Linked DNA regions of Rhinolophus ferrumequinum. The protein of the gene in region 3 interacts with the protein of the main gene of each other region in a pairwise test. Links are inferred from orthologs where the notes say so. Each region holds a gene or a part of one and is shown on either strand. Other genes may lie near its edges.

Evidence for each region. The genes of interacting proteins can lie anywhere in the genome.
Region 1: the proteins of FSD2 (region 3) and CDC73 interact in binary tests that used the Homo sapiens proteins (3 or more experiments, as listed by UniProt). The two-hybrid records come from large-scale screens. The link is inferred for Rhinolophus ferrumequinum from reciprocal best matches to the Homo sapiens genes FSD2 and CDC73.
Region 2: the proteins of FSD2 (region 3) and FMR1 interact in binary tests that used the Homo sapiens proteins (3 or more experiments, as listed by UniProt). The link is inferred for Rhinolophus ferrumequinum from reciprocal best matches to the Homo sapiens genes FSD2 and FMR1.

What each region holds. Positions count from the first base shown.
Region 1 is NC_046310.1:4,969,062-4,976,824, forward strand, and holds the start of CDC73 (parafibromin), read right to left. Parts: upstream 3,104-7,763; 5' UTR 2,856-3,103; coding exon 2,725-2,855; intron 281-2,724; coding exon 175-280; intron 1-174.
Region 2 is NC_046284.1:10,596,248-10,603,507, reverse strand, and holds the start of FMR1 (fragile X messenger ribonucleoprotein 1), read left to right. Parts: upstream 1-4,157; 5' UTR 4,158-4,400; coding exon 4,401-4,451; intron 4,452-7,260.
Region 3 is NC_046311.1:2,941,519-2,948,844, reverse strand, and holds the start of FSD2 (fibronectin type III and SPRY domain-containing protein 2), read right to left. Parts: upstream 3,086-7,326; 5' UTR 2,950-3,085; intron 2,948-2,949; exon of another isoform or gene 2,836-2,947; intron 2,497-2,835; 5' UTR 2,302-2,496; intron 727-2,301; 5' UTR 537-726; intron 1-536. Other genes in the region: WHAMM (WASP homolog-associated protein with actin, membranes and microtubules), read left to right, coding at 3,186-3,794, 4,747-4,920, 6,635-6,785.

The DNA.
Region 1 (7,763 bases), on a different chromosome or scaffold from region 3:
ATTTTACATGCAAAATAATCCGCATAAACCACAATAATCTAATCACAACCCTCCAGGAAACTTTCATACAAATCTTTCATGCTTTTCATCGGAAATCCATGAGGGACATCATCCATGTCAAATGCTACCTACCATCAATTAAATCAATAAAGTTTTAAAATAAATTCTACTTACGGCTGCACGTCGGACATAAACAGGATGAGAAAGATGCACATTATTAAGTAAAAATAAAATAGAATCCAATGTGTAGTACTCTCTGGGCTGGCCTTCTTTTCCAGTCCTGAAAGAATCATGGCAAGAGTTTTACTCACAATTCTATTTCAACTCGTAGGGCTTACTTATGTGTCTTAATTTACCTACACCCACTTTGCTATCCAACAATAGAATGGAATTAAGATGGCTAACAAAAATACAAAGTATGAAATCTAGAAAGTGGAATCGTCGTTAGGTTAGGTAGGGCAAAAGGAACACAAAGGTAGACAATGGCAAAAAGCAAGAAGGAAAGCACACACATTCCTACTCTAAGACATTATATATACTTTTTAATATTTGGCCCAAATTAGGTTCTGGACTTTGTCAATAGAGAAACCTAATCGGTAACACACTAGAGAGGATTCATAGAAAAATAGACTGAAAAGAAGAAAAGAAGCACAACTGTTACTGGTGCTAAACTTACAAGAAATTTATCCTATGTCTACGTCTCCTAAGTAATGAACACAACAATTAATTTCTGAGGTATAAGTCTTAATCACATGCTTCAAATTAAACCAATGACCCAAAACCAAAATGAATTCTACCTGCGATAAAACAACGTAGTCTAGGGGTGCAAGATACTTACCACAGGAACGTACTACTACTTGCTCAACAAACATTAGTGTCCAACCCCACCCCTCCTACAACCTTCTCCCCGTCTAGAAATGTCCAAGCATTTGAATTCACTTGAACATGGCCCAGTGTAATCAGCCCCAAACCTCATTGTCCAGCCTCTATTTCCACTTGTCCTCTAAATCTATGTATTTCAAACCACACACCACTGTCAATTATTGCACTATGAAATCTAAAATATGGGTAACAACCAGGGGTTTTTTATGATATAGAAAAGCAAAATAACAAACAGAATGTACTGTATGCGATAAAGTATTGTTCAATGTCATGAACGTGTACAGATTTACATACGCACCCAAACATTAATAATGAAAGAAGACATATTTATTGGTGTGATTCACTGCTGTAAAAGTTTGAAATCTACTGTTCTAAGCACTCCTTTTTCACTAAATTGCTCTCAAAACATTTCCTTTCCAGCATGCGTGCCTTTTAATACAGTTCTCTTGTCTTTAAAGACCTAATCCACCATTTCACCTCAGAATTCCTACCCATTCTTTAAAGCTTATTTACCTGTTCATTCATTTATGCAAGAAAAATCGGTCGCATGTCTACATGCCAAATATACGTCCATGAAAACTTTCCCGATACCCCAAGCTAGAAGGGGTATTGGGGGTCTTGTCCTAAGACCTAGAGCAGGTTTCATCTCCTCTTTTCTGATTAGCTGACCCTCCTTTGAGGCAGGGACCAGCGTCCTAAGAAGTTTCCATTTCTCAGGTTGGACTGCCCAACACCCTGAGTACTCCTGAACCACTGAAGGAAAAAAAAAATACACAGTTAAAACTCCAGTTTAAAAGTGTAATCCAGTCTGCAAATCCTTCTGAATGGACAAAACAGGAAAATCGGAATGATGTCATTTTTAACATTCCATAAAGCTAATTAAATCCCAAGCCCTCAAGCCAGAAAAACAAAAAACAAAGAACAACCAACCACCTGAATTTCCCCTAGTTTTTCTTCAACCCTTCATAAAGCGCACTACTTCCATGCAATCAAACAAAAAGAGTATGGACGTTCTGGCCCAAGGTCCTATGTATCCCCACAAAACACCACCAATGAGAGACCCATCACTAAAAAGGCCCAAACGATGATCAGACCTCTGGCTCGATGTTTTCTTAATGACTTAAATTCAGGGCACCGCACGTGGATCAAGGTCCCCAAACATTTCTCTTGAAAACACATTTCCCCAAATCACAGACCCCATCCATTTCTAACTCAGACCTGCAAACCTCACTCTATCTCCCCAGCGGCTTCGTCCCTGAGGAAACTCCTGCCTTCACTTCCAACGTATTTGGATCACTCGTCCAAAGGGACCAAACCTCTTTCCCGTCCTAACTCCACAGAGTTGGTGCCCTTCTATCTTCTCGAGGGAATCGCAAAAGGAGAAGAAACAGACCAGGAGCTGCAAGGGTCAGCGGAGCTAGTTAGCAACACAGGGCAGCCTTGGCCAGAGAAAGAGACAAAACAAAAAACAAAACAAAACAAACAACAAAAAAAACCCTCAAGAACAAAAAGACACGTCTCCGGGGACGGACGGGACGCTCCTCCTTCACGCACCTATACGCGGTGCTAGCCCTCCGTCCACATCGCGACAAACGAACCGGGCGACTCACAAACTGCCCCAGGACCTTTCCCTTCAGCTCCCCCAAGACTTCATGGGATGGACCACTCCAGACGCAGCTCCCACCTCTCCCTCCTCACCTACAAGTGTAACTTCCACTCCAGAGAGAAACTTTTCCCCGAGCCCCCGTTTTCCCCATCCCCGAAGGGACCGGGGGGAGGGGCCGGGAAAGAGGTCGCCTGGGGGCGCCCGACTCTGCCCGGCCACAGCCCTGCCGGACTCACCCCCAAACTACATAGTTGGTCTTCACATTCTTGGGCCAGGAGAACTCGCCGAAGATCACTTCGTCTCCCTTCACCACAATCTCCTTCTTCTGGATGTTGTACTGTCGCAGGACACTGAGCACGTCCGCCATCTTCACCCCCCTCTCCGCCGCCGGCCCCGGACGCCGCCGCCGCCGCCGCCGCGCCTGCCTCCTTCTTCCCCTGTCGCCTGGTTCTCCTCCTCCTCCGCTGCCGCCGTCGCCGCCGCCGCGAACCAACTGCAGCCGCACTCGCAGCCGTCCTCGCCTACGCCAGCAGCAGGGGCAGTAGCCACCCAGGCCGCCGAGGACCCCGCGCTAGGAAGCAAGGCCCCACCGCAGGCTGCCCGCGGAGATCGCCTGACTGCGTGCCTCCCGCGCTGCGCGGCCGCCGCCAGGGGGCGTCGCCACCGCCCAGGAAAACGCCCCTCCCAGACTCCCAGCCGGCCCGGGCCCGACTCCCGGCCCGCACCTCGGAGCGCAGGGACGCGGCCACCACGTACGACGCACGTACGGGAAACATCGCCGGGCGCAGGCGCGCGGAGCAAGTGCTTCATCCCCCGCCCCGCCGCCCCTCCCACCGCTGCCTGGGGCTCCGCGAGCGACAGGTGCGCGCGCACCTGCGTAGAGGTTCCGCGCTTCCTTTCCTGGAGCGCGCGCGGAGGGACCCGTCGCCCGTTTTGAGTGCGGCCGAAAGCTCGCCGTCCCTGCTTTGGGGATGGAACTTGGCAAAAGGTTTGCAGGACGCTAGGATTACCTTCCCACCTAGGTCGAACCAGGCCTAGCGAATGGCCTCTGGAAGAGCGAGGTTTCGGGTTGTTTTTGGTGTGAGGCTGATTAGCATCTTGGAAAAGACCGAGTCCAGCGGAGAGCAATCCCGGACTTGGTCAAGCTATGTACCTTCTCACAGCATCAATTGGGTCTTGGAGAACATGGAGTTCGTATGAGAATTAGGTGAAAGGGTCCAGCAAATCATCAAAATGTCATAAATGTGGGCCCTTCCCCTTCAATTCCTTACATGGTGACTTTTTCCGTCCTGCGTCCTGTTTCTCCCCCACAGGCACCAAAGGGCTACATTTAAATGGTTCTGTTCCAATATGCCAATAGGAAATTTAGAGAACTCGAACCCCAAACTGTCTGAATCAGAACACTTTTGGATTACTTTTTTTTTTTTTTTTTGGCATCCATAAGGCTCCAGGGTATCCTTGCTGTCCTGGAAACAGTGCTATAAATTCAATATACAACAGGTGTAATGCAGGGACCCTGGTCCCGCTCCCTGCACGAGAACGCAGGACATGGTGAGGCCAAAATGGAACACCAATGGAGCCATAGAGAGGGGAGTCATCCCACTATATTCTTGCTGGCGGCTGGGTTGGAGACACAGGAAGCAGGAGCCACACGATCTGCAACCTGCCGTCCGCTTCTCTGCCAACCAGCCCACCCGCTTGCCAGCGTAGCCATGGCAGTTATATCGGTGGCTAATGGCTAACTGGTTACAGCCAATGGCCAACCAGTCACAGCTGATGACCATCTACTACCCGAGCCACCACCTTTCCACGCGAGGCTGAGAGCCTGGAAACTGCTCTCTGGGACTCTGTCCCCACAGCAGGTCCTCAACTTTTTTTTTCAACGTTGTTTTCTTACAATGTTGATGAGAGGAAAAATAAAAAATTGGAGTCCAATCAGGCCATTGTGATATTTGCAGCTCATCCCCATGTCTGCATGAGTTTTCCCCAGGGAATCTGTCGACTCTTGTTTCCTCCCATGTCCCAAAGGTATGCTGGTGGAGTTCACTGATGAGTATACACTGTACCAGTGTGAGTGTGGGTAGATGCAAGTATGGGCCCTCTGACAGAAGACTGCCCTACCCACCGGGTCCTCAGAGTTAGCTGCAGGGATGGCTTCCACCACACACGCCCTGAACTGATATCAAGGAGTGGGGAAATGTTTGCCATACTTTTGTTCATGTTTCTTAACACAGGTATATCTCACATTTGTTACTCAGACTGGGGCAATGAAGACAAGCCAGCTATACTCTCCTGCATGTCTTTGGGCTGTGGGAGGAAGTACACACTCCGCCCGGACAGTGGCCCTCACCGAAATACATTTTTTTTCTCATCAACGTTATAACCAAAAGGCCCTGAAGGAAACGATGTCATTTGAGGACCTGCTGTATTATGGGTAGTTTCCTAAGGAGGTAATCAGAGATGGGGTTATCCTTCTATTTGGTAAGGGAATGAGAGTGACTGGGTTTAATGTTGTGGTAATGGACAGTAGTGTGCAAGGGAAATAACCGTATTTTATAGGAGGTTAGGCGGCCAGCTGAGAAGTGTGGAGTCTTTCTTGTCAATAAAAACCTCTGCGTGGTTTGGGGAACAATTAGTTTCAGCGGAGACTCTAGAACAGTCAGTGGAAGCTTTCAAATGTTTTGCCACTGTTTGTTACAGCTCTTAGATGAGATGGGTGCACTTTGGCTATTGGATCTAATGAAAGACTTAACTAAGTAATAAACCTCTGAAGAATCAGTACATGTCTTCAGACCTTTCATGAACAAAAACAAAACAGGATTTTTGAATCTAGAATCCTGGAAACAAAATATTTTGATAGACTGGCTTCTTTTTAACTTGAAAAGTATACTACAATCATTGAAAGATTTATATTAACACATTTTGTTTATGTATAATTTACCTGTCTTTTTGCATTGTTAGTTTTTTCCTACATCTTGTAAATAATGATTTCTCATAATAATTTTTTTAAAATTTGAGGAATTATGAAAAAAATCTAATTATGTTTCTTGACCTTTCATGTGTAAAGGAGCAATTCTTTTTTTCCTCAATGGCCATTTTGGGAGAGCTGATGAGCATTTAGGCATTATTCTGAATCTGGGTCCTAAACTGAGAAAAAACAAAATTAAGAGTAGTTGTTAGAGTAAACGAATATTAAGTTATAAGTATCCAAAGACAAGAAATATTTTTAGGCAATACTGTAAAAGCATAGCGAGATACAGCAATGGTATTAGAAAATAAATCTTTTCAAAAGTAGGAAGGAATTTTTTCAAAGTCATTTAAGAATATGTTAGCACTGACAATTACCAAATATTTTGGTGACATAAAGGAACCTCTACTAATTTGGGCACATAATAATTGAATTCTTCTACAGAAAACAAGACTCAAATTCTAATTTTACTCTTTTGTACATTATTCACATAACTACCTACTATATAAAATTTATGAGTATACCTTTATATGCATGTGTATTTAGGCATGAATGAATACATAAATATACAAATAATATATTTAAAGTATTTAAACTATAGCCTTAACATATACACATTAAATAAAACAATGTAGATATCATATTAAATTTAACATCTTCATAAATAATAACAACTCTTAATAAACAGAAAATTATATCGATTGTCTTCCATACAATCTTGTATTTCTCTGTAATTATTGTCACCTAATATAGTCAACCAGTCATATAAATAATCATATTAACCAAGTAACCATCTTCTTCTCCAAACAAAAGAGAATATCAGAAGACAGAAAACTATAATTGCTTAGCGATTTTGTTCTATTAATGTGCGTTTTATATTATTTTAACAATTTTGAGGTTGTAAAAATAAGCACACATATAAGGTTTGATTAAAAAATACAGTGAATGCTGCTGCCGAGTGCCATTCAACAGAAAGGCAGGGATCTCCAATAAGGGAAGCGGTGCGTGGAACCTTAGTAACAGTGTGTGACAAGTTTCAACTTGTTCGGTGCAGTCAATCAGGTGTGAGCTACGGTTGAGAGAAGGTGTGTTTTAAAGTGTGCTATAAATCATGGATCACAAACAATGTATTAACATGAAGTGGACAAACGGTTTCATCCTCCATTATGACAACGCTCCATGTCACACATTGCTGTTGGCACGGCAATTTCTGTCAAAAACATTACAGTGTGTCCTCATCCACCTTATTCACCAGATCTGGCACTATGTGACTTCTGGCTCTTCCCCAGAGTCAAAATGACCAAGAAAGGTAAACTTTTTGAATCGATTCAGGACATCGAGGCAGCCACGACTGCCAGAGGACTTCTAGCACAGCTTGAGAAAGTGGCAAGAATGATGGCATAAGTGTGTTCGAAGCAAGAGGGAGTGTTTTGAAGGGGATTAATGGCAATGTGTCTTTTACTTTAATCATTTTTTTATGTAAACATTCACCATGTTTTTGATCATACCTCATATATATATATGTGTATATATATATATATATATATCATATAACCAAGAGACATTTGTATATTTTGTTAATCCATTGCCATTGTAATAAATAACAAATTATATTTAGTAACCAATGTGGTTTTCTTATCTGCTTTTTACTTAGAAATTGTCCAAGCATCAAAAGATTAGTTATTTGTTAACTTATTCGTTTGCCTAGTCTTAAAGTTAATTAAGGATCGGTAATTTACAATTTTAGCAAGCACATTAAATTGTTATTTGTAGCACTGTAAGAATTTCAGAAAGTTGTCCCTTCAAAAAGATATCTGTTGGGCCGGCCCGGTGGCTCAGGCGGTTAGAGCTCCATGCTCCTATTGTTGGTTGGAGCACATCCTCTCAACCACAAAGGTTGCCAGTTCAATTCCTCGACTCCCGCAAGGGATGGTAGGCAGCGCCCCCTGCAACTAAAATTGAACAGGGCATCTTGAGCTGAATTGCCGCTGAGCTCCTGGATGGCTCAGTTGGTTGGAGCGTGTCCTCTCAACCACAAGGTTGCTGGTTCGACTCCGGAAAGGGATGGTGGGCTTCACCCCTTGCATCTAGCAATGGCAACTGGACCTGGAGCTGAGCTGCACCTTCTACAACTAAGACTGAAAAGACAACTTGAAGCTGAATGGCACCCTCCACAACTAAGATTGAAAGGACAACAACTTGACTTCGAAAAAAGGCCTGTTCCCCTTCCCCAATAAAATCTTTAAAAAAAAGTGAGTGACTGTGTGAAGGGTGCAGCCATTTAAAAAAAAAAAGATATCTGTTATT
Region 2 (7,260 bases), on a different chromosome or scaffold from region 3:
GGCAAATGTGCAGACAGTACAAAGTCAGTGGTTGCCAGGGATGAGGGGGTAGAGCTAATGACTAAATCGGTGGAACACAGAGGATTTTTAGGGTGATGGAACGATGCTGTATGACCCTATAACGGTGGATGCATGACATCATGCATTTGTCCAAACCTATATAGTGTACAACACAAAGAGTGAAACTTAATGTAAACTATGGACTTTACCGTGTTTCCCTGAAAATAAGCCCTCACTGAAAAATAAGCCCCAATATGATTTTTCAGGATGACATCCCCTGAACATAAGCCCTACTGTGTCTTTTGGAGCAAACCTTAATATAAGACCTGGTCTTATTTTTGGAAAAACACGGTAGTTAATAACAGTGTATCGATGTTGGCTCCCCAATGATACAAAACACAGCACAGTAATGCAAGACATTAGTAACAGAGGAAGCTCAGAGGGAGGTATCATGGAACTGTTATGGGAACGCTAAACTAGCTTTTCAATTTTCCTGTAAATCTAAAACATAAAGACAATTTTTTTTTCTAACAGCTAGTTCAAAGGAGAAATCAAAGTGCGGTGAAACTGTCAGAAAAGGTGTCATGAAAGAAGTGAAGCCTTAGCTGGGTCCTAGAGGGTACATAGGATTTCTAGAGTTAGAAAGGACAGGGCATTTCAGCTGGCATTGAGGCATGAAAAAGACTCAGAGGGCTCAACTTGCAAAGGAGCAGGAAACAACACAGAAGAAATCAATGCAAAGACAGGCAGGGATTTAATGGAAGCTAGGGGCCAAGGCAAGGCCTTGAGCCTCCAAGTGCTGAAGCAGAAATAGAGGCGTGGCAGCAGACTTGACCCAAGCTGGATCCTCAACATATATTCATTCAATAAATATTGAGTGGGCACCTACTGGGTTCCAAACATGGTAGGAGGCACCAGGGACAAGTAGTGAAAGAAAGAAAGAAAAATCTCTGAGCTCCAGTCCTAGTGACAGGAGACAGAACCTGCCTGGTGGTTTTGTGTTTTCAAGAAACAGCAAAGAAGCCAGAATGCCTGGAATGGAATGAAGGAGGGAGGGAAAAGGTGAGATAAAGGAGATAATAGAGGTCGGAGTGTGTAGGGCAGGGAGGCCAGAATAAATAAGGATTTTGACTTTTACCCTAAGGCCTTTAGCGAACAAGTGGAGGGTTTTGAGTGGCAGAGTGACTTGACTGACACCTGAATAGGGTCACCCTCTCTTCTGCCTTGAGAATAATGGATAAGAGTGGCTGCGGGGAGACCAGACAAGTTGGTGTCATAATACATGTAAGAGAAGATGGTCGCTCATGCCATGGTTTTAGCAGTGCAACCGGTGAGCAATAATAGAGTGTGGACTCCGAAAGTATTTGCTGATAGATTCGATGTGCGAGAGAAAGAGAGGGTCAGAGTGAGTCAGTTTTAGGCCTGAGCAACTAACTCGAGGACGGGGTTGCCAGTGATTGAGAGAGAGTAGGGGAGGAGCAGACTCACAAGCAGGCTTGAGCCCATGTTTGAATTCAGCTGAGCTGTCTTGAAAGGGGCCATTTCAAGAGCTAGAGGTCAGAGCAAGGCTGAGGCTGAGGCTGAAACCCGAATTTAAGCGGACAAGACTAAGTCACAGTACATCCTGGGAGGAAGGATAGGCATGTTGATTCAGTGAAGATTTCCTAAAACTCAACCACTTTGTATGTGCCAGAGACGCAAAGGTAAGAAAGACATCTTTCCTGAATGGAAGGAACTCACAGTCCAAGGAGGGAAAAGGAAGTACAAGTAAATGATTCTAGTACATTAGGCATCATAGTCCAGCTATTCAACACTTACTGAAGCCCTGCTCTATGCCAAGCGGTATGGTGAAGAAGCAGGGGCTGTGAATAAAGTTCTATAAGAGCACAAAATAAATTCTTGCAAAGGATCGCAAAGACATGCACAAGGGTTTTCACCAGCGTAACATCAGGCAGTTGGCAGTAACCTAGACACCCATCGCTAGGGAAATGTATCAGTAAAATCGATGGAATACTCAGCAGCAGTTGGAAGCCAAAATACAGGTGTACGTGCAGCAATATGGGTTAGCTTAAGAATGTGGTGTTAAGTGCAAACAGCGGGAAACAGATGTATGGTCCAATACCATCTCTAATTGTAAAAGGCATACACAAAACACTACATGTCTTAAATTATCAAGGATCTATAGCAAACATACTGTAGTTAGTGTCTAGAAAAAGAGTGTGCATGGGGATTGAGAAAGTCAAGGAAAAATAAATATAAAATAATATAGTTAAGGGAGGGGTCTTGCAGGGACTGACGGTGACAACGTGCTGAGAATTGAGGAGCAAAGTTAATTCAACATGGCATCTAGGGTAAAATAACTATCTAATAGGAATCCAGCTGATAACCCTCAGGAGAAGGGAATTTCTGGGGGGCAGGCAGAGTGTGAAGAGACCGAAGGCATGAAAGTGCATCGGAGGTTCAGGGAATGGCATCCGGTTGAGTGCGCCTTGTCCTGGTCGTGAGGAGCGATGATATTTGAAAGCCCTGGGTACAGTGAACGACAGCCTACACGTGGAAGGTATTATGGTTCTCATCAATCCCCTTCTATTCCATGGGGGTTAAAGATCACGCTGTGCTCCCAGCCAGCCTATGGTGAGATTTTCTTTCAGCTCTATTGGGGTCTTCACATCTTGTGACTACTCCAGAAACCGGAGTCCAGTGGGGCATTCCTGTTTACGGTGGCCTCAAGGAATGTGACCCTTGGTCCGCTGCTTTAAAGCTGGAGCTCCCCCAGCAGTTAACACTGCTGCTCTGGCTAGGAACGGGGTGGGAAGGGAACTGGAGGCCCAAGGATGCCTCTCGTTCTGGGGCACCAGCCTGGGGCAGTTCACCCCGCCTCCACCAACTCAGTGCTGTCAGTGAACTCTCACTGGTCACATTCCAACCGGAGTCACTTCCCAGCTCTGACCAGCCCTCCCCAACCCCAGACTGGGCCCTGTCTCACTGTCATAGGTGTACCTATGCTGCATAGCCCTTATCACAGTTGCAACTCCATATGAACTCTTCTGATCGTTTGCTTTATGTCCAGCTAGGCCTCGGGGGTCCAAGTTCAATGCTGACAGTCTGTTTCCTTGTTTTCTTCACCAAGGTCTCACTAGCACTTAGCCCAGTGCCTGGCAGTAGGATGGGCTCAAGCAACTTCTCCGTTGGATACAAGCCTTCAAAATGAAACCTAGGTCAAGGTGGATACAGCAGGCTGCAGAGGCAAGGATGAGAACGAGTTGGGGTTTGCTCTTCTGTGGAGGGTGAAGGGTGAGGGCTGCAAGGAAACAGGTGCCTGAGCCCCTGTCGATGTACGTGACTGCCATCCACACGCCCATTACACCCTCTGGTGCAGGGTAGGCGTAAGTGAAATAGTAGGGAAACTAAGTAACTAAATTAACAAGTGTGTAACACATTTTTTACATATGTCAAGTAAAGCTATGAAACTGAATGGAGGGAAGGGAAGCGCATGGATCAGTGCTGGCTCTGAGGCAGGACTAACGTTTCCAGAGGTCCGGACACAATTGCATCGCCTCTCGGAGGACACAGGATGTATCCACAGGAAAGCCCAAAATGTCTTGGGGGAGGGAGCGGCGTTACTCTCACCTTCTGCCTCTAAGGGTCACACAGGCCGGGGTCGCAGTGGTTGCCACTGTTACTAGTTCAAAGTCTTGTCTTCTTCAATCTAATTCTTCACCTTTATTCTTGTGCCCCACTCCAGCTCCACCTCAACCAGGCTCTGCCCCACTTAAACAGAAACAAACCAAAACAAAAACCCTCCACACCCAGCCAGCCAGGACTCAGATAAATGAATGCACTTGATCTTTACGGGAGGCCCTTTCCCACGCCTCCCCTTGCAGGTCTACAGGGATGGGCACTCTAGCCCTCGCCTGGCGACACCAGGCGGCCTGACCTCCGCCAGCAGGTACGACCTGTCGCCGCCCTTCCCGCCTTCCCGCCCTCCTCTAAGTCTGCGCACGCCAAGCCCGCGCGCCTTACGTTGGGCCCGGCCCCTCAGCCGAGTAGGAGCTGCGCGCATGCGTGCGCTCCAGGGCCCGCGCGGAGGGAGAGAGGGCGGGGCCGAGGGGCCGAACCCGCGGGGGGAGGGGCGGCGTCGGTCACGTGATGCGGTTTCACTGTTTACACGCGGAGCGGCTGGAGCGTTCGGCCTCAGTCAGGCGCTCGGCTCCGTTTCGGTTTCACTTCCGGTGAAGGGCCGCCTCGGAGCGGGCGTTGAGCCGACGGCGAGCGCAGGCGGAGGCAGTGACCGCGGCGCCGCTACCGGGGGGCGTGCGGTAGCGCGGCGGCTGGGCCTCGAGCGCCCGCAGCCCACCTCTCGGGGGCGGGCTCCCGGCGCCAGCAGGGCTGTCGAGAAGATGGAGGAGCTGGTGGTAGAAGTGCGGGGCTCCAATGGCGCTTTCTACAAGGTACTTGGCTCCAGGGCCGGCCCCATCTTCGCCCTTCTTTCCCTCCCTTTTCTTCTCGGCCTCGTAGGGAGGCAGGCCTGGGGCCCTCTTCCCGAGCGCCGCGCCCGGGGTCCAGGGCGCGCTAGGTGGGATGTTGTTGGGGAGGGAAGGACCGGACTTGGGGCCTGTAGAAAGCCCCTCGAGCTCCGCTGCCTCTCCTACAAGAGGCCCTGGCGCCTGTCGGAATGAGAAGCGGCAAGGAGGCGAGGGTGCCCTTTCGGGGGACGATCCCTGCCAGGCAGAGCTGGGGGTGGGCAAGGGCCGGCGGCAGGTACGCGATCGAGATCCCGGCGGGAAGGGCCGGTATCCGCGCGAAGTGACGGCAACGGCTTATTTCTCTTTTCCTAAATATTCTCTCCCAGTGGGTTCCGGGCCTGACGTGTGGGTAGTTGCCGAAGAGCGGGGGGCGCTTCCGTCGAGCCGCCTCCTGCCTTGCACAGAGGGTTTGAGATCTCCTTTGGCTTCTGTTTTCCGGTCCAGCATTGGGACTTCGGAGAGCTCCACTGTTCTGGGCAAGGGGTTTGAAGAAAGAGGAGTAAGAAGCTGTAGTCAGTACCAAATCACAATGGCAACTGATTTTTAGTGCCCTCTCTTTGTGGATTTCAGAAGAGATTTTTAGATCCCAAACTTTTCGGAAGATACTTATCCGACTAATGCATTAAAGAAGTTGGCAGTCTTCAATGTTCTCGGCCCCCTCCCTTGTTACAAATGTGGACAAATTCAGGAATACAGATGCTTCAGCATCTAAAATCATTAGCAACTCTGCTACTTAAAAAACAAAATTTTAACCCTCCAAAGACCTGCATACATGCTATCAAACTTCAGGAAATTAACTAAATGTTATTACTAGGGAATTTTTTAAAGTGAGTGGAAACAATTGTTTTGTGCTGTAAGTACTTGACTGTCTTCCCTGAATGTGCAGTGTTGCAGTGGATTGTATTGTGGGGGTTTTAAATAGGCATACATGGTTTACTGTGGGTTTTTCTTTTTTAAGTTACACCTATGCAGATCACTAATATATTACATTTTTAGAAGGAGAATTAAAAATATTTTGACCTATCAGCAGTGCGTCTTGGTACATACCATAGATCTGCTAATCTATAAATTCCCATTTCCTCTTCAATGTCCCTCTATAACTTCAGCAAGTATTATCTCACTTTACTACAGTCTTTTCTCAATAGAAGATGCATATGAAAGGAAGCATGGAAATTAGCTATTGCCATTGTCCAACACGATTCTTACCATTATTACGGGATCACTTAAACGTTTCAGATGAGACCCCCTTTCGCTAAAGGAAAGTAACAAAAATTGACTTACTAACTATGTGTTTACCAATTTTTTGGAAGTATTTGCAAATTAATATATTTCGTAAGTGAGTGAAGCATGTACATGTAAACTGTACCATACATTTAGCAAAAAGATAAAACCTTTCACTGTAAAAGGAGGAGGAAATAATCCAACATTTATGTTCTTAACACTCTCACCAATATAAAATTGTTCCAGGGGACTGGGCAGTCAAAATTTTGGTTGCGTTTATTTCAGTGATTCATAATTTCTGCTGGTTAAGTTTGTGTAGAATTATTCTGGTTCCAAGACTGGTAGTTTTGCTCACTAGATTTGTGACACTATTAATAAATATGAATGGGGCTAATGTTTGAACAGTATCCTAATCTATGACCTTAGTTTAGATCGCATGCCACTATGTATCTTTTAGTGGAGTTTGCTTGCTATAGAGTAGCAAGTAGCACAGCTCGATCTGAAGGATGTATTGTTCTCCAGCAACCTATGTTTGCTCGCATGATTTTGCTTGCAAACTCATTAGAAGATAACAAATGCCCTCTATCTTTGCCAGTAGTCCTCCCTTTTTGTTTTTTAACAAAGTTGCTTAATGTAAAGGTGAATAAAAAAATGGGTTGTCCTGTAGTTCCTTGGGGCTGGGGGGAAGTGAAACTTGAACAAATGTGCTTAAAGAAATTGCTGTTATGTTTATTTAATTCGGTTTGTTTTTAAGAAAATCTCAAATGGTCTGTATTGGTGGAAAAATAGTTTCTATAATGAAGAAGGATTAAAATTTTATAAGACTCAAAATATTGCTGAGTTGCAAAAGTAAACTGAGTTGCTTGTCCAGTGAGATGGGTAGAAAGGATGAGAAATAAAGACCAATAAAAAAAATGAACTGTTATGAAGAAATGTTACATTTATGAAAAAAAGGAACTTGGTTCCTCAAATTGATAGAAAAGCCTTTAAAAACTAAACAACTCAAACGACTTCAGTATAATTGAATTCAGACTTTGATTTGCCTGACAGAACCGCCATATTGCAAAGGACTATTCTCCATCTTCTGAACACATGGCCACCCTTGCAATATACACTGGATAGAGTATATGCTGGGAACAGTTGGATTGTTTCTCTAAAAAATAACTCAAACTCAGGATTCAGAATTAACAGAACCATGAAACCTGAACCCTAAGAGTTTAACAACTCATTTCTATTTTTCCCTCTGGTGTTTATTCTTTAAAACTTGTAAGTTAAATTTAGTAATTGTCAGAGCCACTACTATTATACTTAAGTATTTCTTTGACTTGGAAAAAGGTAGTCACGTGTACAACTTATAGAGCCTTATGTTATTTAAGACATGAAGACACTGGAATTATACCCCACAAAATCTTTACAAAACATTTCCTAAACAAATGCTGTTAAAGCAAGGTCTTTCTTCTTAGGGCCATCTGCCTAAAATAGTATAGTAGGCTTTTGTTTGTTTGTTTTTGAT
Region 3 (7,326 bases):
TAAAAATCCAGCAGCCCCATGACTTTCTGCTCCCTCCTCTGTCACACGCAGTCGTAGTGGCACTTGAAGGCATAGTCCCCATTCAGTAATTAAATGTATGATTCAATATATTAATCAAAAAGTCACACTGAGTTTAGCCAGCATCAAAATCTTCTCCCCTCCCCAGCTTGGGCCTCTTGCGCTGGAAGCCTTCTCTTGGACAGGAGGAATGAGGGGCCTCTTCTCCCCACCCACACCTCCTCCCTGAGCTGCTGGTTTGGACGCTAGGGCAGCATAAGACAGCTCCCATTTGAGTTGATGTCACAGTGAGAGCTAACTGCAGGCTCTGGAGCGGATAGAGCTTAGAGCTGTCTTTCCCTCTCTCCCTCTCCCTTTCAGGAATCTGAGCTTCTGTATTTCTGGAGTTTCCCATTATGGAGCCCTTGCCCCTGAAGTTCTCACAACCAGGCTGAGAACCTCTCTATTCCGAGGGGGGGGGATCCTCCCCTAAGCCCTGGTGGGCCACCTCCAAGGTCTCTCAAAGGAGGTCTCCTCACCCACGCAGCTGGCTTTCGCAGGCAGCATCTAGGTGACTCCTTGGTGGCTTTGGCTTCCTGCTGGCCCACATCCACATCCTGGGAAGCAGGCCCCTGCAAACTCTGGGATGCAGATGTCCCAATGTGGCCACCTCCGCTGGTTCTGCCACCTAAGCAGCCAATCTTGTGCCTCAGGCCACCACTGGCCCACCTGCAGGAAAGACAGCAACCTCTCAGACAGGTCCCTCTGAAGACCCCTCACTGAGCTGGGGGTAGTGTGGGACTTCCAAACCTCCCCCAAGTCCAACAACAGCTCTCTCCAAAGAAATCGCACCACTAGTTTCCCTTCCAAACATCCTCTTTTTATTTTCTGATCCCTTATTTTCTTCATTCAGCTGAGAGCATGAATCAGGCTCTGGATCATTTCCTTTCAAAGTCTGCATATGGTGATTTGATCTCAGAATTTTATATCTGTTGTTTTTTGGGCCCTCAATTAAAACCTCATTTTTAAGATACTATTACTACAGGGCACCCAGGAAGTAAAAATTTAGAAGCAAAATAAAATGTCTAAAGCAAAAAGACTTGAAAGAAAAAATTATGCAAAGATGTGTATACAAGAATGTTCATCACAGTATTGTCTACAGAGGCCGAAAATTGAAATAAATCTATGTCCATCATGGCTAATTCACTATATTAAATCACAATATGGTCAATTCAATATTGGAAGTTATTAAGAATGATGTAGATGCCGCTTTTTTAAATGTGGAAATGCCCACAATATACTTGTAAGTAGAAAAAGAGTATGCAACATATCATTACAGTATAATCATGTATGTACGAGAACGTATGTGGGAGGGTTTATTGCTTTTGAGTTATTTTACTTTTTTTTTATATCTTTGATAGTGTCTGTTTTCATAACAATTATATGTACCTTTTAATAATTTTTAAAAATCTTCCTTTTTTATGGTAAAATAATATATGGTATTTGGCTTAGAAACAAGCAAATACTACAAAAGTGAATATAAACCAGTCGTGCATCCGGGTAACAATTATTTGGTTTGTCTATTTTCCCGTTTTTTTTTTTCTCTAAGAATTTACAAACTTATCCCCCTCTCATACACACAAATTAGAAAATTTATAATTAGAAAGTTTGCTACCTTCATTTTGAAAAAGGAAATGAATTAGAAAAACTACTAAATTAGAAAAACTACTACAAAGGATAAAATATAAAACATCCAGTTAAAAGACATGCTATAAATATTTTAAAAGGTATTTAAACAGACTACTAGAGAATTATAAGTAAATCATATTAGCTAAATATATGCAGTAAAAAATAGTCTGAGGAAAAATAAATCACTTCAGCTGAATGGTTCTCTCTCCAAGAGGGACTGAGTCAGCGAGAGCAGCTGTTCTGAGTCCAAGGCCCACAGTCCCACACAGGTATGAAACTGGGGGGGACCTTCAGACAGATGCAACTTTAGACCTAGATGCCTTGGGATCACCTTCAAGGGTGAGACATGCCTTGACCATAGTTCCAGCCGGGTCCTGTTTTGTTTTGTGGGTATTTGTTGTTGTTTTACCTTGGGCATAACAGCAAGTGCAAATCTCATTCAGGCTGTCCCAGCTCACAAACTGTGAAAAGCTCCCTCACTGGTTCCTGACTCGAGACCGCACAGCCTTGTTTTGGTGAGAGGCTCCTCGTGGCTCCCTGGGCATCTCCTCTACCCCCCACCCCCTTACCCCACTCAGGGCACTCACAGGATGGGCGCTAGCAGAAGGTACACACCTGGGCACAGAGCAGGGCTGTCTTGTTCCCCGTTGTGAACAGGTCCAGCTCCACGTTCCGCTCCATCCTCACACGGCAAACTAGATTTCCCGATTTCCTTAAACAGGTCTTCAGTAGTCAAGGGGTCTTGGTTAGCTGGAGTGTCTCTGTATCATGTGAAGTTTCTTTTCTGGGTGGGTATCAGTTTTCTTATTTCTAAAATGAAGTCAGCAGATAGGTTTTAATTAAATATGCTTTGAGGACTGTTATCTTTTTGTATGGCCCCCCTCTCCGTCCCTGCCCCGCCCCCAAACAGGCACACAGCAGACCCTCCAAAAAGCTTGTTGAATTGACAATAAATGTGTGGCTCGTAGCCAGTGCTTGCGCTTTGAAGGTCTCAATACATAACTTCTGTTTAATTTAATGTTTGCTCTCTCCAACAAGTGTGTACCTTCCTTGAGAGCAGGAACCATGAATTCACTAGGGCCCTGACGACAGAAGTTATCAGCTGGGGCCCGATTCTCAAGAGCTCACAGTAACTTGTTTCACAAATACCTTTCCCACGTCAGTAAGTACAAAGGTATTAAAGGTGAGGCAAGAGTGGGAATTCCAGGACTCCAGGGGACTTTGCGACAGTGATTGACTCCCAGGGCTGGGTCCCAGGCAGACCTTTGGCCTTTTCATTGGTTGTCGCGGACCCTCCCTCTGTCACCCGGCCAATCCCGGAAGCCTCTGGAAGCCTCCAGCGCCGGCCGCCAATCAAAAGTGCCGGAGGGGCGGTCGTGGGGCACTGACGCGATGACGGTCCAGCGAAAAATGTCGCGGCGTGGACGGTCCTGTAGCGGGGGCTGTGAGGAGGCCAGGCCCCGGCGAGCCGAGCCCTCCGGCCGCTGACCGCCGGTGCCATGGAGGACGAGCAGCCCGACAGCCTGGAGGGCTGGGTGCCGGTCCGCGAGGACCTCTTCGCCGAGCCCGAGCGGCACCAGCTGCGCTTCCTCGTGGCCTGGAACGACAAGGAGGGCAAGTTCGCGGTGACCTGTCACGACCGCACGGCGCAGCGGCGTCGGCGGCGGCGCGAGGGGAGCCGGCAGGGGTCCCCACCTGAGCCCGAGCCTGAGCCCGAGCCCGAGCCCGCGCCCCCGCCCAGCTGGGCGGGCCTGCTCTCGGCCGCCGGGCTCCAAGGCGCGCACCGGCAGCTGGCGGCGCTGTGGCCGCCGCTGGAGCGCTGCTTCCCGCCGCTGCCGCCGGAGTTGGAGGCAGGCGGCGGCGGGGCCTGGGGCCTGTGGGCGTTGGTGTGGCCCGCGCGTGCGAGCCCCGGCGAGGCGGCCCTGCAGGAGCTGTGCGTGCGGCTGGAGCGCTACCTGGGCCAGGCGGCCGACGGCTGCGGCGCCGCGGCCGTGCGTGATGCGCTCCTTCCGGCCGACGGCGGCGCGCCCGACTGCGAGAGCCCGCGCGCCTTCCGGGAGCGCGCCCTGCGCGCGCGGTGGGCCGAGGCGGGCGCGCGGCTGCAGCAGGTATGCGCGCCGGCCCCCTGCCACCTCTCCCTTTAGTGTCCGGGCCATCAGAGGGGCTCAAGGGCGAGAGTGGGGTTTTTCAACCAGGCTCGCGCTGTGGAGGAGCAAGTTCTCAGTCTGAGGTGGAGAAGGGGGCGCAGGGTCCCAGGTGTCCTTCACCTGCAGAGGGCAGCCAGGGGTATGCTGCGGGGACGCGCGGAAGGCGCAGAGAGAGAACGAGTTAGAGTAAATCGGAGCAATTGGGAGCCAGAGTGGACCTTAACTCCTTTCACTGACAATATTGGCAGAGCAGGCTGTTATATCGGAAAAGAGGCCATTCTTACTCTGGATGAGTTTTCAGTGCATTCTTTTGAGGAACAGGAGGCATAAGAGAAGAATTCAGTAGAGGGGTGGAAACAGAATAACTTAAGGATGTATTGATTGAAAAAAAAATTCTATACTATTGATTTTATTTCTCTTCTCCTGGGGATAATTCTTACCAAACGAGTTTATCATTATCACTATGAGTTGTTTATCATAAATGCTCAGTATCAGAAGTGCTTTGCAGAGACTAGAGTCACTGCTGTGACTGTAAATGAGTCTACTCTGCTGGGGGTTTCATGGCGCTATAAACCTTGGGAATTGAGGGAGTCTACGTGACGGCATACTTGGACGCAACTCTGTAACGTCCTCGTGAGATTTAAAAACGGAGTACAGCCTCGCAAAACTAGTCATCGAAAAGTGATGAAAAAGTATCATCCACAATCTACAATCCAGAGATAACCACTGTTAATATTTGATGACTTGCGCGCCCTTTTCTCTGTACGAAGTTGAGATAAAATTTTGAATTCTGCTTTCCCCCAATGTATTCAAGTTTACAACATGAGGGTTTCTTTTGTTTAGTTTTGTTCGTTTGGTGTGGTCTCCTAAATACTGTCCAAACTCGAGCCTTATTTACATTTTTGCCTTCCAGATTCTTCAAGGGCATGAAAAAGCAAGCACCATGGTAGCATTAATGGAAGTTTATCGAGAAGAAGATGAAGTGTACCAGGAATTAGTTACCATGGCAACCATGTTCTTCCAGTATTTACTGCAGCCCTTTAGAGATATGCGAGAAGTTGCGACTTCATGTAAGCTTGATATTTTGGTATGTTTGCTTTATGTCTTTATTTTATCAGATTTACTGTTTGTCACATATTACTTCTTTAGTCACATTTAAGATTCAATCTCTGCCCATTGGGTTCACCCTTAATGTTTAGATGATGTTGTAGATATGTTCATTTTATTTTTAAAAATTGATAAGAAATGAAGACGTTTTACATTGGTCATCTTCTTACTACATTAAGATTTCCACAGATTTTCAAAGGTTAAACACGTTCTTTGCTGACGATTTGTTTTTGATGTGATGCTTATTATTTTCCACCTCTAAGGACACATGCATATTTCTTAGAAATAAGATAAAATGTTAAATAGCAAGGCTCTGAATTGTAATTCGGTAATTTAAACTTTAGTAAATGCATCTAATTTCACTGAGCCATGGAACAACCCTGTGACACTAATTAAAACAGGCATTCTCATCCAGTATTAAAAATGACGCTAGAGCCCAGAGGGCTTCAATAGCTTTCCTTGGTCTCACTCCACAGTAATCAGAAGACAGAGAGATCGCTTGATCTCTGTCCCCTGCCCTGGGCCATCCTTCCCCACATGTACTCACAGCCCCCACGAGTCCACTGTACTGTAAAAATGGCATTGTGTTTAGATGAAACTCCTGCCACTCTAATCTGTGGAGAAAGTTGTTCTATTGATTATTTTGAAAGTCTTATTTGAATAATCTTTAGTTTCTGAATATATATTTTCTTTCCTTAAATAACAGTTTTATTGAGATATAATTCACAGACCATACAATTCACCAATTTAAAGTGCACAATTCAGTGGGTTTTAGTATAGTCAGAATTGTGCAACCATCACCACCATCTAATGCCAGAATATTTTCATCAGCCCAAAAAGAAACTCCATACCCATTAGCAGTCATTCCCCATTCCCCATTCCCCCGCACCCCCAGGTAACTACCAGGCTACTTTCTTGCATCTGCGGATTTCCCTATTCTGGATATTTCATGTTGTATGGACTCATACAATATGTGGTCCTTTGTGTCTGGCTCCTTTCATGTAGCATGCTTTCAAGGTCCATGCATGTTATAGTAGGTATCTGACTTTCATGTCTTTGTACTGCCAAGTATTCACTATATGGATACAGTACATTTTACTTATCCACTTAGCAGTTGATGGACATTTGGGTTGTTTCCTCTTTTTTGGCCATTATGAATAATGCTGCTATGAACATTTGTGTACACGTTTCTATGTGGACATATGTTTTCATTTCTCTTGGATATATACCTACGAGTGGAATTGCTTAGGTCATAAGGTAACTAACTCTATGCTTAAACTTTTAAACGAACTGCCAGACTGTTCTCCAAAGCAAAAGCCCAACTTGACATTCCCACCAGCAGTAAAGGAGGGTTCCAGTTTGTCCACATCATCACTAACACTTGTTATTCTGTCTTTTTGATGACAGCCATGTGAGTGGATGTGAAGGGGTACCTCACTATAGTTTGGATTTACATTTCCCTAATAGTGAACCCGGGTATATGTCTTATATTACTAGCTTTGCAGAAGAACTGGATGCTGGATGAGCTGTATTCATTCTCAGTAAGGAATTGCTGAGTTAATGAAATTTTATTGACTTAAGTAGTAGTAATAAAAGTAGTTGAAATAATCCACTTGACCAGTTTGCTTCCAATTTCCTAATGGCTGTACATTACCATTCTTTCTTCCTCAAACAATTTTCCCTTCTTTCTATAGAAATCCTTGGATGAAGATGACCTAGGTCCTAAAAGGATAGTGGCCTTGCAGAAGGAAGCCCAAGAATGGACTAGACGGGCTGAAGAAGCTATAGTCTCTATTCAGGATATTACTGTGAATTATTTTAGAGAAACAGTGAAAGCATTAGCAGGTAATAATTTAAAATACTGCAGCACTAAGGTACATGTAATTTTCATTTTATTCAAAAATCATTTGACTGTCTCTTTAGTACCAGGCACTAACTAGGTCCTGGGGATTCAGTGTAAAGATAATCAGAAACAGACACTGTCCAGTCTGTTGAGGGGAGATAATCTTCGTTACACATTCACACAAACACACAGGGAAATGGCAGTGGCAACAAGCCCCATGAGAAGAGAAACACGGGGCTCTGAGAGCCTGAGAGAGAAATGAGGCTCCATCAGAGTGGCCCCTGAGAAGTGGCATTTGCCCTGATGTCTGAAGCGTAAATAGAAGTTGAGAGAGCAAGAAGGTGAGGGAAGAGTGTTCCAGGCAGAACGAATAGCATTTACAGAGCCCTCTGGCTTGAGGGAGCTTGGCAAATGTGAGAAACTTAGAGAAAGGCGCAGGACTGGAGCAGAGTGTAGAGAATCGGGCGGGGGTGACGGGGGCAGTGCAGGCAAGACAGGAGGACGAGATGGGGGCGCCGTGTGGGCTGGGGGAAGGAAGTTTAT